Linked DNA regions of Yarrowia lipolytica. The protein of the gene in region 1 purifies or fractionates together with the protein of each later gene. This does not show direct contact. Links are inferred from orthologs where the notes say so. Each region holds a gene or a part of one and is shown on either strand. Other genes may lie near its edges.

Region 1 (4,315 bases):
TTATGAGATTACTATGAATCGGTGACCGCTTCGATGCCTTACCAAGTCATTATCTGGAATTAATTTTCTGCTATTTATGCCTAATTTTTTCTTTTGGATAAAAATACTATGCTGAGTAAATGTCAAGTAAATCTTGAAGTACTGTAATAACAGCATCTTCATGATTTCGCAAATATCAGAGATTCTAGAAATGTTGGTACTGTAATACAGAATAGCGGTGTACCAACCTGGATTGGCTGATATTGCATACCTGTTAAAACGATGCATTCTAGTTATCAATTCATCCCCGCATTTTGCTGCACAATGTCCGCAACTGTGAAAATGTACCCCCAGCGCAACTTACTACTACTTTAATTATAACATCTTTTAAGAGAATAATCTTTGTATCGACTGCAAGCAAAACGGGGTTATACTGTACACGAGGAACAGAGAATTCAGACTTCCGGTAAGAAACAACTGGTGGTCCAAACAGCTTATATTTCAGCCTGATCTGACCAGGAGTCGAACTTCGACAAACGGGGAAGACGAGGGGGCGCATTTAACACACTTGCCGCTGAATAAGTCCTCACATGGTACCAAGTAATGATTCATATCTCTAAGTATTGTACAAAACGAGTAGATTAACTATTTGTACAAGTACTGTACATACTGTACTCTGTATCACCTCACTACTTAGCCATACTACAAGACTGTACACTTTCCCACTCAAACAAGCATGCATCTCTATTACTATAAATAGCCCAATTAATCATCAAAACCCTTGAACTCCTCCTCCTTGGTCTCCTCGGCAGTCTCAGTAGCAGCAGGGGCCTCGTGGATCTCTCGCTTCTTCATCTCTCCCAGTCGGCCCTCTCCAGCGGCGAACTTGACGTTCTCCATGTCCTCGGCCTGAGGAGGGGGCACGAACCAAGGGATCTTGCCTCGGTTGAAGTCGTTGAGAATCAGCTTGGCGATTCCAGACTCGTCGGGCTCTCCTCCCTTCAACAGACGACCGTGCTTTCGTGCAATCTTCTCCAGGAACTCGGTGGCGTTACTCCAGCCGGACACCTCGTAAGTTCGCTCCAGATGCTTGGTCTCACATCGCTCCAGAAGAGCGGGGATGTACTGCTCGGGGTAGGAGACATGCTCGACTCGCACGACACCTCGGAAAAGAATGTCCGTCTCGGAGTCCTTCTGACTGGGAGGCACAATACCGGGACAGTCAATGAGGAAGATTCGCTTCATCAGAGTAATGTACTGCCACACCTTTGTCTCTCCGGGGATAGGGGCAGTCTTGCAGACCTTCTTCTTTCGCAGAGTGTTGATGATGGATGACTTTCCGGTGTTGGGGTATCCGATGAAACCCACGGAAATCTGTTGTCGGTCAGGGTGCAGAGCCGAGTACTGTCGCAGCAGCTGGATCAGAGAACCCTTACCGAAAGAGTTGGTGATGGAGGCGTGAAAGGCCAGAGTGGGGTAGTCTTGCGAAAGATGCTTGACCCAAGCGGCAGCAACCCACGTGGGCACAAGATCACACTTGTTGAGAACAAAGATGAGATGCTTGTGGGGAGCCTCCTTCTTGATGTATTGCTCGACGGAGGTACACCTGGTTCCTAGAGGGTCTCGGGCGTCAAGCACATGAATAACCACATCTGAGGAGTCAATAACCTTGTACAGCTCATTCCAGATTCGCTTGGACTGACCCTTGTGGAAAATGGCCTCCTTGGCCTCCTGGGACCAGCCGTCCACCTTCCACGAGTTGTCCTCCTCCTTCTTAGCCTCGAAGTCCTGCTGGCTCTCGTCGGCAGCAGATGCAAGCTCGGCAAAGTCTCCAACAGCCAGCTGGGGCTTCTTCCGCTGGGCCTTGGGGCCAAAAGTGTTAGCGTATGACTCGGTCTCCACCACCTTCACTTGGGGGATCTTGTTGTTCTCCTCCAATAACGACATGGGCAGCTTGTTTTGTCGCAGCAGCACCTGGTATGAATCTCGCTTGGTCTCGCCTAGGGCCTCTCGGAAGTGATTGAGAGCGTCTTGGGCAATGACTCGAGTGTTGCCGAACCACCGTCGGTTGGGGTCGATTCGAGCGTTGGGGATTTCCTTGGACTGGAAAGTGGCGGCCTGGACCTCCTCTCCTCGGGCATTGTGCTTGGCTCGGCCCTCCTTGTACATGCTCAGCTTCTTGACCTTCTTGGCATCTCGATAGAAGTTGACACCCTTGACACGGATGTTGCCGAAGCCGTTGCCGGTCTCGCCGCCCTTGGCTCGTCTGGTAGCTTCTTTTTTGCCAGTTCCCATTGTGTGTAGATGTGTATGAAGAAGATGTCAAAAAAATTTACATATCTGCATAGGCACAAAGGCTAATCCAGTTTTTTTTGAGCTTATTTGGGAAGTTAGAGATGTCTTCTCTTGAGGGCGTGAGTTCGATTCCCCCTGGGGAAATCAGAACTAGCGGTGAAGCAGAAGTATGAGCTGAAGTCAGAGTTTCAAGAGAGTATATATATCAATGAAGCACAAACAGCGAATGATAACCAACTACACCCCACCAATAACCAAAATAAATACAACATTTTTCAACATGTTTTTTTATTCGTATTTTTCGACCTCCATAGTCAAACAATCAGTCGACACCGTTGATGCATGACGCTGCAGTGTGACATTTGGAGAACTGTAGAATATTGAGAAGATGTACAGTTCTAAGCGAGATAAACATATGAAAAATAGCTTTAAAATACCAGCAAGTTGATCCCAACTGCTTCTTATCTTATCTCTTCTTTCCAGCCAGCATTATTACAACAATACCACCCTCTACATAGTCCAAACTCTGAAATATTTTTGAGAGCTTAATTTGTTTACCCAGAAGTATTTCTGTCTGAAAAATCAAATCAAACTCATTAACCAAAACACAGACACCTTCAACAATGACAGACACGTTCGAAAACGACTCCAAAGCATTCAGCGACTTTCTCGCCGGTGATCTCAAGTACGAAATCTCACCGAAAATCGCTATTCATGACTACCGATCTGACCACCAAGGTCGAGGAGTGATTGCATCCGAAGACATAGAGGAGGATGAGGTGCTGTTCAAGATCCCCCGAAGCTCGTTTCTGTCGGTTGAGAATGACCCCGATTTCATCAAACAGGTCCCCGAGGCCAAGAAACTCAACTCGTGGCTGCAATTGATTCTGTACATGATGAAGGCTGGCTCCATGACTAAGTGGAAGCCCTACTTTGACGTCCTGCCCACCCAGCTGGACTCTCTCATGATGTGGACCGACGACGAGCTCGAGGGTCTCAAGGGATCCATGATAGTCAAGAAGATTGGCAAGGCTGGCGCTGAGGAGGACTACCAGGAAAAGCTGAAGCCCATCATTGATGCCCATCCCGAGTACTTCAAGGACTGTGATACTTCTCTCGAATCTTTCCACAGAATGGGAGGTCTCATTATGGCCTACTCTTTTGATGCTCCCGATAGCTTTTCTGAGGACGAGGAGGACGATGAGGACATAGAGCATGACGATCTGTACAACGAGGGTCTTGTCAAGGCTATGGTTCCCCTGGCTGACACCCTTAACGCCCACACTCGTTTCTGTAACGCCAACCTCATTGCTGAAGACGATGGAGGGTTCTCCATGACTGCTATTCAGCCCATTAAGAAGGGTGAGCAGGTATACAACACTTACGGCGAGCTGCCCAACTGCGACTTCCTGAGACGATACGGATACGTGGAGAACGAGGGCACTGAGTTTGATATTGTCGAGTTCTCTATGGACGAAATCTCCGATTTTTACGCTAACAAGGCCTCTAAGGACCTCATAGAGGAGGCCACCGATCTTCTAGAGGACTGGCAGGGAGAGTACGAGATTATGGACGAGTACTTTGTGGTCGGGAAGACCGGCGAGATCGAGTTTGATCTCGCGTGCTTTATTTCCTTCCTCGAGCTCATCACCAAGGACACCTCTCTGTTGTCCAAGCTCAAGCAGGACAAGTCCCTGCGAAAGCAGGTCGTCAAGCAGTTGTGGAAGAAGTCCAACCAGGGTCTCCTCATCGACGATGCTGTCAAGTCCCTGACGGAACTCGTCGAGTCCAAGAAAAAGACCTACGGTGAGAAGTCTGACAAGACCCACAAGCACAAGATGGCGTCAATCGTGCTTGAAGGAGAGCTGGAAATCCTTGATAACATTGTCAAGCGACTACCCGAGACTACCACATACGTTACTGACGACATTCTCACAAAAAAGCGGGCTTCTGACGCTCCCTCTGGTGATGCTAAGCGAAAGAAGTAGATTCACCTATAAACTGTATAAAATGTATTAAATGTATATTAACCGTTAATACC
Region 2 (5,126 bases), on another chromosome or scaffold:
GCAGTCGGCAGCTGAGTGGCGCTGTGTTCTGCGTCAGTAACGACACTGCCGTGGTGGTGAGCGACAAGAAGACTTTATTTTACTCGCTGGGCACAGAGAAATCCATTGAGGTGGCTTGTGACTTCGTTTCTGGCGTGGAAGCTGCAGCCGTGCGAGCCAAGGGCGATTTGGTGGCTGTGGCAGGAGGACGAGCACTGGTTCTGTTGAATAGTGCTGAAAACGAGAGCAACATTGTGAGACGTTAATCACAGAACCAGTAAGGGGTTTGGATGGAAGGGGAAACATTGGTGAGACTACTTTCAGTCATACGTTAATAGCCATGCCATGTAATTTAATCATAGATTTGAAATTCACTAAAAGCACACATACCGACAGTGAAAGATGCAAGCTGAAGTGTAATCGATTGATGTCTAGCATGCCATATATTAATTGCTTCCCTATATACCGTCATTATAACCTCGTTCTATCCTTATCTATGTGCAATTCCTTATGTTTACCTTTTCGAATGTTTAAGCAGGAGAATTACCCTCAGCCCAGTCAACAAAATACTTGAGCATCTCCTCGGTCACTCCTCTTCGAGCTCCCTTGAGAACATGATCAAAGTCCTTCTTGGTCACCTCCTTGGCATCTTCGTCCTGAGACATTGCGTACAGACCAGCCTCTTCACAGAGAGCAACAATTTCGGCACCGGTCATGCCCTCAGTTGTCTTGGCGATCTCTTCTAGGTCCACCTCGGAGCCCAGGCACATGTTCTTGGTTCGGATCTTGAGAATCTGCTGGCGGGCATGCTCGTCAGGAGGTCCAACGTACAGCAATCTGGACAGACGACCAGGACGCATGAGAGCAGAGTCAATAACGTCAGGTCGGTTAGTAGCAGCCAGAACCATGACTCCGTTGAGAGACTCGATACCGTCCATTTCTGTAAGCAGAGACGTGAGCACTCGTTCTCCTCCAGCGCCTGCCTCAGAATGTCCTCTAGCAGTACTAAGAGCATCAATTTCATCGAAGAAGATGATGGAAGGGGCAGCAGCACGAGCCTTTCGGAAAATCTCACGCACGGCACGTTCACTCTCTCCAACATATTTGTTGAAGAGCTCGGGGCCCTTGACAGACAGGAAGTTGAGACCAGACTCGTTGGCCAGGGCCTTGGCAATGAGAGTCTTGGAACATCCCGGGGGTCCGTACAGAAGAACACCTCTAGGGGGTGTGATTCCGAGGTTTTTCATAGTATCAGCCTTGGTAAGAGGCCACTCGACCATCTGCTTGAGCTTCTCCTTGACTCCAGACTGGCCTCCAATGTCACTCCAGGTGGTGGAGGGCTTCTCGAGGAAGATTTCTCGCATGGCAGATGGTCTGACATCCAGCAGAGCTCGTTCAAGGTCAGGCATGGTGACTTCCAGACCGGAGTTGACAGCGTTCAAAGCACTGCCATGCTCCTCCAGACCTCGGTTGATGGCGTTCATGACTCCTTCTCGACACAGAGCGCTCAGATCGGCTCCGACATAGCCGTGAGTAATGCTAGAAATGTACTGGATGTCTTCTTCGGACATATTGTGAGGCATATCAGCCATTTGGATGCTCAAAATGCTCAGTCGGGCCTCAGCGTTGGGAATGCCAATTTCGACTTCTCTGTCAAACCGGCCAGCTCGTCGCAGAGCAGGATCAATGGCGTTGGGTCGGTTAGTGGAGCCCACAACTACAATCTTGGCAGAAGCAGACTGAGACATACCGTCCATCAGAGTGAGTAGAGTAGCGACAACTCGAGACTCGGCTTGTCCAGACTCGTCTCCGTCTCGTCGAGGTACCAGAGCATCAATCTCGTCAATGAAAACAATAGCTGGCTGGTACTTTCGAGCCTCTTCGAAGATGGCTCGTAAGGACGACTCGGTCTCGCCCAGGTATTTGGATACAATGGATGGCCCGTTGATTGTGAGTACGTGTGCATTTGATTCCTGAGCAACAGCACGCAGCAGCATAGTTTTTCCGGTTCCAGGGGGTCCATGAAGAAGCACTCCTCGAGGTGGCGAGATGCCAAACCTCGAAAACAGAGAGGGATGATGCAGAGGAAGCTCGATGGTAGATTTAAGCTCCACAATGTGTTGATCCAGGCCGCCGATGGACTTGTAAGTAGTAGTTTTGGGTAGCTCCCAGCAGTTTCGAGTTGACACAACCACTTGTGTATCTTCTAGCAGAAACAAGGGAGACCAATATGAAACGTGGTTCTTGAGCTCAGATTGTTCCAGTGATAAGGATCCAAGATCTGTGTCGCCAACGTCTGTCACTGTGACGTTCACGTACTCGCCAGACTCGATCTTCACCTCCATACTGAGTCCTGGAGACACCATGGCCAGCTTCTTGAGATCGGTAGTTGTAGCATCAATAACAGCCTGTTCAGGGGAATTGGGTGTGTTTATCCGCACACTGACCAAACTCGCCATGTCCATCTTGGTCTTATATCTCTCCACTTTGACTCGATCTCCAAACAGGAGAGCTCCTGCGTCCTTGAGTCCTGCACTCACGGTAACCACGTTGATGTCGACAAGATCGGGGTCCTCCACAGCCTCGGGGATGGCGCAAACGGTTCCTCCTACTCCCCGATCACCCTCACGGTACACAGACACAAACTCGTTGTTATTGAGACCCAGAGCCTCGAGAATCTTTGGATGCAATCCAACCTTGTAGATGTTCTTGTTGTGCGTCACGGCGGCTTGGGTCTCTCCCTGGGGACGCACGATAAACAGATCGGGGATCTTGACGGGCTTTTCTTTCACCTCGCCATCGTCCTTGGTCGAAGACGACTTTTTCTTGCTGGTAGACGAGCTTTTGGGCGCCATGGTGATGATGATAAGAAAATTAAAAATTGTGCATGAAATTATGCAAGCTAAAGGGAGCTTATTGATGAAGGCGGGGTGGGACAGTGATAGATATGGGAAGAGATGAGGTTGAATAGTAGACATTTTTGGTGTCAAATAGGAATATTTTTGAGCTCAAAAATTGATCGAAGCTATCTAAAATCGAATCTGCTTCCAAATGGACGAGATAGAGCGTCTGTATCGTGTTACTTATATATTTTGAGAGATAAAAGTTTGAGAACAAGGTAATGTGATTTAAACCACTAGTTAGTTACTAATATAAAAACAATCGATCTCTTCTGAAAGAAACTGGATGAGTTACATACTGTTGTTGTGAAGACACTCTGTTTGCACGTCCAGTCAATAAATAGACCGCTATGGAGCTTATTTGGGTATGCCCTTTTGAATGATAGCGACAGTGAGCTACCTTTTGTATACAAGTTTTTATTGAATATAAATAACTATTGACAATTTGTCTATTTACAGTGCAGCCCTTTCTGCTGTTGTGGCTATTACCCGTCACGTCGTGTTCCATTCATGCCGATCGTTGTTGTCCCCCTACAAGTAGGTGTTTCATACCCAGATCCATCGGTTCAGGCTCGGTCTGGGACATGTCCTAGTGGCCAACTCAACAAGAACCCGTGGATAGATGGAGATTTACCAGCCTGCTCGTTGCCGTTTGTTTCTATGAGTTTTGACATCTTCAACGCAATACTGCCTTAAACCAAAGTCATTAAACCAGAAGTCATGTAGCCCTCCAAAATCACTTCATGAACAAACTCCTCGGCCTTCACCCCACCATGCTCAATATGGATACTTGCAATTAGCGCAAACAGCATCTTGGTGGCATAGTGAGTATCATGCATTTTCCTAAACGCCTGTCTCTTGTTGGCATTTTCTTCCGGAAGAGGCACGTATAGCGACTTGATGAGTTTCGTGTTCTTGACAAACGCAAGCACCAGGGTCTCGTCACGAGTAAGTCGGTCAGCCAGGCCGCTTCGACAAATGTCAAAGTTCATCAGGTTGGCCTTCTTTCGACTCCAACTGGGTACCTTTGTCAGGTAGCTGAAAACAGCAAATTTGTATGCATGTTGGCCCAAAAGAACACGCGAGTTGATAGCTCCGTATCCCAGTGTGTCTTCAATGTGGGTCTTTTGTGTCTGAAACGGCGTGCCCTTTCTTTGAGCGCTAGGTGTAAGCGTATGTGAAATGCACAGAAGCTCTCTGATCACAGCCTCAGGAAGCTCGTATTTGGGTCCGATGAAATCCTGAACGTAGCGTACAGATTCGATGTCGATTGTGACCATCTTGAGTTCCAGCAACGAGTGGACATCGGAGTAGAGGATTTCTTTGATTGGCGACAGAGGCGAAAGTCGAGTTCGGTATGAGGGCTGAGTGTCGGAGGTTAGATAATGACTGGATCGTGTCCAGCGGGAGAAGCTGTGGTGTATGAGTGGATTTGCGCGCGAGATCTGCGGCCTAAGTCCTTTTAATGACTGCATTGTTGTGGATGGAAGTCTGGGTGCCACTTGAATTTGGTGATACAAAATAATTTGAGTTGGGAGGTTACAGTAAACGGTGAAGGACGTCCATACGTGATGGGGGTGTAATTGGGGTGGCTATAAGTGGCTGTCTACGAAGAGCGGGAGGGTATTCTAAGAGATTTGAGTGACTATTAAGGGAGTTTGAATAGAGTGAGTTATTTTCTATACTCAAAGTAAGCCGTTATTGTAGTGTTTGTGTGATGTGACATATTCTCCCCTCTATCCAAGTCCTTTTAAAAATTCCGTTTGTTGAGATCAAGTCCAGAACACCCAACTAACTCCTGCATACTTCAAGTACGAAATAAGGGTCTGGGGGTCTCAAAATATTCTTTCATTCTAGCCCAATATTGAACATTTTTGAGATTTGAAAAAAAGGAATATATAAAATAAACGAGTAGAACTGAGTATAGCACCTTTAAAACCTTCTACCACGCTTCAAGACCCACTTCTTCAATCCCCTAAACCCCCTTCTCCACCAATAGAGTTTGTAATTTTTCCACACGTTTTTCTCCCAACTCGCGAGGGTTAGGTTTCCAACCCCAATGAGGACTTAATGACCAGCCTCCCTTAACTCCAGCAGCGAAATTAGCCTCCCAGCCTGCCCAGACGCGTTTCCTCCCTCTCCCACCTTTTTTCTTATACCCACTCTTTGGTCACCACATAGCATCAGTCAGCCAAGAGGGCATCTTGCTACGAAATGACCCCCGCTACACCTCCACACCATCATATG

Evidence for each region. The genes of interacting proteins can lie anywhere in the genome.
Region 2: the proteins of YALI1_F35753g (region 1) and YALI1_E08021g purify together in Saccharomyces cerevisiae (affinity purification with mass spectrometry; 3 studies listed by BioGRID). This does not show direct contact. The link is inferred for Yarrowia lipolytica from reciprocal best matches to the Saccharomyces cerevisiae genes NOG2 and AFG2.

The regions. Positions count from the first base shown.
Region 1 is NC_090775.1:3,573,268-3,577,582, reverse strand, and holds YALI1_F35753g (uncharacterized protein), read right to left. Parts: upstream 2,275-4,315; coding exon 745-2,274; downstream 1-744. Other genes in the region: YALI1_F35746g (uncharacterized protein), read left to right, coding at 2,898-4,262. UniProt on the Saccharomyces cerevisiae protein: GTPase that associates with pre-60S ribosomal subunits in the nucleolus and is required for their nuclear export and maturation.
Region 2 is NC_090774.1:799,185-804,310, forward strand, and holds YALI1_E08021g (uncharacterized protein), read right to left. Parts: upstream 2,958-5,126; coding exon 510-2,957; downstream 1-509. Other genes in the region: YALI1_E07984g (uncharacterized protein), read left to right, coding at 1-245; YALI1_E08035g (uncharacterized protein), read right to left, coding at 3,572-4,354; YALI1_E08043g (uncharacterized protein), read left to right, coding at 5,094-5,126. UniProt on the Saccharomyces cerevisiae protein: ATP-dependent chaperone which uses the energy provided by ATP hydrolysis to generate mechanical force to disassemble protein complexes.